2 linked regions of the Caenorhabditis elegans genome follow. The protein of the gene in region 2 purifies or fractionates together with the protein of the main gene of each other region. This does not show direct contact. Each region holds a gene or a part of one and is shown on either strand. Other genes may lie near its edges.

What was found.
Region 1: the proteins of rpc-25 (region 2) and rpc-2 fractionate together in Caenorhabditis elegans (co-fractionation; one large-scale study listed by BioGRID). This does not show direct contact.

Annotation. Positions count from the first base shown.
Region 1 is NC_003281.10:5,555,354-5,559,111, reverse strand, and holds the start of rpc-2 (DNA-directed RNA polymerase subunit beta), read right to left. Parts: upstream 1,748-3,758; coding exon 1,016-1,747; intron 603-1,015; coding exon 1-602. Other genes in the region: hach-1 (3-hydroxyisobutyryl-CoA hydrolase, mitochondrial), read right to left, coding at 2,122-2,240, 2,291-2,511, 2,710-3,083, 3,136-3,528, 3,605-3,658.
Region 2 is NC_003283.11:10,205,168-10,208,294, reverse strand, and holds rpc-25 (DNA-directed RNA polymerase III subunit RPC8), read left to right. Parts: upstream 1-1,692; 5' UTR 1,693-1,693; coding exon 1,694-1,906; intron 1,907-1,955; coding exon 1,956-2,221; intron 2,222-2,270; coding exon 2,271-2,511; 3' UTR 2,512-2,615; downstream 2,616-3,127. Other genes in the region: tftc-3 (TPR_REGION domain-containing protein), read left to right, coding at 1-228, 273-409, 460-575, 622-721, 771-1,300, 1,363-1,468; ZK856.16 (Ovule protein), read left to right, coding at 2,712-2,972.

The DNA of each region.
Region 1 (3,758 bases), on a different chromosome or scaffold from region 2:
TCCATTCGGAATCTTTTGATAATCCAATTTCCTGTCGACATAGCATTCACTATAGTATTCGTAATCATATCTTGTCTCATATGCTTCACAATATCCAATGGTGCAGCCATTGTCTTCATCAACGCATTGTCTGCAATTCTTTTCAGTTCAGAGTTGAATCTTTTGAATACATCCTCAAACAGCAACGAAAGCAATGATCCAGCGAGCTCCAAACGTTTATTTCCGTAGAAATCCCGATCATCAAGCCCATTTTCTCCGAGTTCCGTTTGAATCAGTCGTCTTGTCATTAATCCCAAATAAATCGCCTTCATTTTGAAATTTCCATCTGGGCAAGCAATATGTGTGATCATTGAATTGGACAGAAAATCGACTGCTTCGTGTTCTTTCGGTGGAGTCAAGACGCTCACTGAAGTTCCTGGAAGTGATCCGAATGGTGTGAATTTACGAGCCTTGACTTTTGAGGTAACATATGCGAGTGCCTGCTGTTGGGTATAAACTCCGGCATTTATGGATTCTTCGAGAGTTTGAGCAAATGCTGAAACGTACTTCTCCTCGTGACCGATTGTACTCACAATGTCAAAATCTGATTCGACTCCCATCGCCTGGAAAATTGAAACTTTGAAAAGGAAGCGGTTTTTAGTTTTTGTTTTAACATAATGCTACACTTTTTTTAAAATTTTCCCTATTTTTTGTAATAATTTTCTTGAATTAAAAAAAGCGAACTCGAATTTTGGAAAAAAAAATCTGAAAAACTCCAGATTCGATAATAAATGTTTTTGAGGAATTTCGATTGAAAATATCGTAAAATGTTCAGTTTCTCACAATCAGAAAGAAAGAAAGCTTCATTATTTTTTATTCTAAAACATTTTTTGAGAATATTTTTTGCATCAAAATTTGGAAAAATATTTTTCGGAGAATGTTTTTGTATTGGATGTTTTTTTTTTTAAATAAAATATTTAGGAATGAATGCCGAACATTTTTTTTTTCAGTTGTCATCAAAATTCTCAAAATTTACCTTGAAAATGATGGAAACTGGTACATCATCGGTGAGCTGATTGTGGCGAACAGAATATTTACCCTTCTTCATAGTCACATATGTCTTACTTTTCCTCTCGGACGTCGACGAAAGTACTTCACACTGCAGTTCTTTACTTGAATTTCTTCCAACCATAATACGATTTTTGGAGAGTTGTTCTTGAATCAGGATAACCTTTTCACTTCCTTTGACCACAAAATAACCTCCTGGATCATATGGGCATTCTTGAACTCTTGCAAGCTCTTCTTCGGCAAGATCTCTGAGAATACATTTACTCGAACGAAGCATAATCGGCATTCGACCAATGATCAGATCCTTCTTGAATACTCTTTGATTACCACGTGTGTACTCAATATCCACTGAAATTGGCGCCGAGTAGGTCATATCTCGTAGTCGACATTCTTGAGGGGTAATCTTATCGTGAGTCATGTTGAGACCCTCCTCACTGCTGGGTTTTCCGATTCGAATATCCAAATATTTGAGATAAAAGTTTGGATTTGCATCGGAAGTGATCTTCTGATTGGAGAGCATGATACTTCGGATCTCCTCCTGCACGAAATGATCGAAACTGACGAGATGCTGTTTGACGAGTCCTCGAACTTTCAAAAACGCGGGAACGAGAAGCCATTTGTCCTCGAGTGGCATGCATTTCTGATCCTTGCCGCACTCGGATTTTATGCGAGCGCGGCCGTTCACTTGGCCAATTGTCATCTGAAAATTGGTATTGAAAATCTGAAATTCTAGAATAAAAATTATTTGAAAAAGAGGTACAAAAACAGAAAATAACAGTTTGCAATAGAAATCTGGAAATAAAATTCAAAAACAAAAAAAAACTTTATATTCATACGGCGAATAGCTGAAAAAGGCACGGAAATTATTTGTACACCCGGAAAAATTAAATTATAGCTAGACATTTTTCTAAAAATAAATACATAAGGGGTTCCTATTAAAATGGTAAAAATTATGGGGGAAAATCAACATTTTGGGTGAAAAGATAGGAAAACGAGGAAATCCGATAAAAATTATGGGTTTCCCTGATTTTTTAGCTTTCCATTAAAAATTCAATTTTCCGCTAATTCTGGCCTCTACAATTTTAAATCAGAATTATTTGGCAATGGCGAGAAATAGTTATCGACGACAGAATCCTTCACATCAGCCAACGTCGCTGGATTCCACTTTGGCTTGCGATCCTTGTCAACGAGAACTGAAAAATGAGTCAAATTTTCAATGAAACCCTACAAAATCTCTGCTCACTGGCTCGGCACCCTTCATGGAAATCCTTATCGGCGAGGAATCGTTGAGTGAGACGATACTCCATTGTGAAGATCTTTGCATAGCTCATCTTGCTTCCTTCGGTGATTTGTCGGTGAGTTACTTTCAGGGAAGTTGGGCTCATTTTTCCTAGAGTGGCTGCTTGCTTCTTTGCCCAGTCGGATCCGTCTTTTTCGAGGCTTGCGAGGATTTCTTCGACGCTTCTGAAAAATCAATTATTTTATATATCTTAGGCAAATGTAATTTTTTGTGTGCTATCGAATCCTCAAAACTGGCCCTTTCCTAGTTTTTGCTTAAAACTAATATTATCTGAGAAACAATAATAAATCAATTCGATGAAATGCTACTTTTTAATTTGTTCCAACTCAAATACACGTGATCTTGGTGACAAAATATCTTACTTTGCTTTGAAGGAATCTCTAATTTGAGCCAAATTCTTGGACAGACTGAATTCTGGAATCTTCTTTGGCTCGAACGATCTGATGACTTCATCGACAGAGTTCTCTGTCACATCCTTAATATTCACAAGTTCCTTTTCCAATTTCGCAAGTTCCGAAGACTCCACAAAATGAGTGGCAAGACCAGCATGGAAAGCGTCAGCACCTAGAAGACGATATCCAGTGAGTGCCAAGTACATTCCGAGGTTTCCCTTGAGCCTTGAAAGGAAATAGGATCCACCGACGTCTGGGAAGAGTCCAAGTGCGGTTTCTGGCATTGCTAGCATTGTTTTCTCAGTGGCAACTCGGAAACGTCCATTTACAGAAAGACCACAACCCTGAAACAAGTTTTTTAAAAAATTGAAAAGAAAATAGTTGCAGATAACTTACTCCTCCCATCACAATTCCATCAATCAGACAAACGTATTGCTTATTCAAAGTTCCAATTAAATGATTTAAAATGTACTCCTCGCGGAAGAAATCCTTGTGCATTGTGCACTCTTTTCCACTCTCCGAATCTTTGAAAGATCGCACAACGGCAAGAACATCTCCTCCAGCACAGAACGCCTTATCACCGGATCCTTTCAAAATGACAAGATCCACATCGGAAGATGAATTCCAGGCTTGAAGTTTGGGATAAAACTCTCGTACCATTTCGAGGTTCAACGCGTTTAGCGCTTTAGGCCTATTCAATGTAACCACCTTCTTCGATCCGTGTGTGTCGACAAGGATTTCCGACTTGGCGGCGGCGCTCACGGAGAACGACATCTTCTGGCAGACTTCCTGGAAATTTCTGAGTTTAGAACAGAAAATTTGATAGAAAAATAAAATGTTAGTCAAAATTTGTGAAAAATGAAACCTTCGAATGAAGTCCGCGGAAGAGTGCGGGCAAGTTTCGGACAGTGGCAGCCATGTCTCTGAAAATTGGCTTAATAAAATGAAGAATAGTTTACGAAAACGAGAAAAGTGGTCTTGTTCCGCGAGGTTATAAAGGGAAAACATCACTGATCACA
Region 2 (3,127 bases):
GGTTTTTCGAAAAAGCCCTCGAAACCTTGGAAAATTATGACCTGGAAAACTGCTCATCGATGCCAGATGAACGTCTTCTTGCTCGTCGAGCAGACGTTTTATTCGAAGCAGGAGATTCTGAGCAGTTTGTAAGGATCACGAGAATGATGCTGGCTCCCCACTTCTACAAAGTCTATATTTCTCCAGATATTTTGAAGAAACGACGGGTTACCAAAGGAAAAACGACTAGTAAGTGAAATAACATTTTAATTGTCTTCAATACGAATTTCCAGCACCTGCTCTCAGTAATACTTTGAAAACTTGTGCTTTTGGAGTTGTTAAACATACAAATTGGGAACGCCTTGTCAAAAGGCTGGGAGCAACTGTAGAAGCCAATGGGACTTTTCAAACATCGCTTTCGGGAACAGATGTAATCATTATTCGAGCATACATTTGATTGTGTAAATTTTTAATTTTCAGATACATGACTACTGTTTGAAGTTAATCGAATGTTTAAATAAAATGGAGAAACATCAAGACGCACTCATTGTCTGTTGTTATGCATTTTTACATCCAACTCTTTTCAAAGCCGACAAGTGAGCTAATTTGTTCAAAATTTTCCACACATTACAAAATTTTCAGAATCTCCACTTTCCAGAATTTAGTATATTTTTGTGCAATCAAAGCAAGATGTTGGAATTTGGCATTTGAATATGTTAGATTCTTTCACACTTTTTCTTTGGTAACAATTTGTATCTTATTGGACGCATTTAAGTAATTTAAATTTCCAGGCAGTCAGCGATCCTCAAAATGGCTCATTCTCTGACGTTCTCCAAAAACGCCTTTTCAATGCAATGAACTACGTATTCGTCAACTCTCAGAATGTCTGCTACCATCGATTTATCATGAGAGCACTCGTCAAAGCTAAAGATAATCATGCTCTTCAAGCGATTTCAGGCAATAATTCACTTATCACGGGAACATACCGACATGCAATGGGAGAGTATCTTCGAGTATGGGTAGCCAATAAACGAAATCCACTCATCTGTATGCTGCTTGCTCTCACTTTCACTCATATGTCTTGTAAGAAGGATCTCTCAAGTAGACACCTCATCGGAATCCGAGGAATTGCTTTTATGAAGAAGTATTCAAAAGCACGGGCTTGCCAACAAGAAGTCTTTTATAACATTGCCAGAATGTTCCATCAAATGTCGATTCTCCCTCTCGCCAAACATTTTTATGATAAAGTATTGGAGGTTGATCCGCCGTGTGTGTTTGATTTTGATGAAGATGGCAATGAGGTTATTATTCCAGCAATGAAGTAAGACAATTTTAAAAATAAATTAGAAATTTCTGTCTGTAGAAATACTATTAAAATTTCAGATATGACCTGAGAAAGATGGCTGCTCACAACCTGGCTTTAATCTACCGAACATCAGGAAACAATTTCGCCGCTAGGAAAATTTATGAAAAATATCTTGTTGTTTGATTTTTTGTTGAAGAATAATTTTTGTTAATCTATCCAATGTCTGACATTGTGTGGTCTAATTTATAAGTAGCAATCCCATCGTACTTTTTTAAACAATTACTTATAAATTTTCTTTTTTATTATTTTTATTTCATTATATTTGGTTCTGAGAATATAGTTCAAGCTTCCATTCAATATCTGCTGATACTGATGCCGTATAAAAGGAAAATGTTTAATATTTACAGTATGTTCATTCTTTCTCTACTGCACGATACGGTGGCTATTCAGCCTCATCAATTGAGCTCTGATCAGCAAATTGTTATCAAAAAACGGCTCAATGAACGTCTCGCCAACAAAATTATTCCGGATCTTGGTCTCTGTATTTGTGTCTATGATATAAATGAAATTGGTGATTCGTACATTTTACCCGGCGAAGGAGATTGTAGAGCGAGAGTTAAGGTAATAAATCAATGTACAGTCGTATTTGAGAAATGAAATAAATCTTCAGTTCCGTATGATCGTTTTTCGGCCATTTGTCGATGAAGTTATTGAGGCCAAAGTGATTGGTTCATCACGACAAGGTCTTTGTCTAACAATTCAATTCTTCGAAGACATTTTTGTACCGGCGGAAAAGCTTCCAGAACCTCATGTTTTCGAAGAAGAAGGGCAAGTTTGGTATTGGGAATATGCACAGGAAGATGGAGAACCACCAGCAAAACTGTATATGGATCCAGGGAAGATTGTGAGATTCCGAGTGACGGAAATCATTTTCAAGTGAGACATTTTGTATTTCATCGAAATTAAAATATTGATTTGTTTGCAGAGATCTCAAACCAGAGTTAACACACGAAGAGAGAAAAACAGAGAAATCTATGGAAATCAAAGGTACGATGGCTAGTACTGGATTGGGATGTATTGGATGGTGGGCAGCAGAAGATGAAGATGATGAAGCGGTTGAAGACGAGCAAGATGAACAAGAAGAAGTTATACAGCCCAAAGAAGAAATTAGACAGCCTCAAGAAGAAGTTAGACAGCCTGTTAAAATTAAAGAAGAGCCAGTTTAATCAAATTTTAATTGATTATAACGGGTACACTGTTTTTACTTTTTGTTATTGTTGAATAAGTTGTTATTTTTTCGTCTTGCAAAATAAATATAAAGATAGCTTGCAAAGATCGATTATCCAATCATTATGTTTGTCTCATGATTTATACAAGTACTTCCAAAGGCGGCCTGATATTTTAATTTCAGAATGGTTTCAGAAACATGAGCGAAAAAACTCGTAACCTTATGCTTAAAAGCTCAGCTGCGCCCACCAGTAGTCAACAGTACCATTCGAACAACGTCCCACTGCCAGTCTTCCGTGGAACCAGCTTGATATCGCAACTCGAAACACAAAAATATCCGACATCCTTCACAGCGTGCTCTTCTGATTTTGACAATGTAATCATTCCATCTTGTCCAAGCATTCCGATGCCGACTCAATCCTCATCGAGTACGGATACGGCCATGGATTCTTCTACTTGAGTTTTAATAACTATCAAGTGCTTCTAAAAACATCTCTGACACCATTTTCTATTTTCAAATGTGAATAAATAATTTAATCAAGCATTTCTTCCATATTTTGCCCAAAGTTCATTTCACGGTAGCCTACCGTAAATCGACATATCGAGTATGCGCCA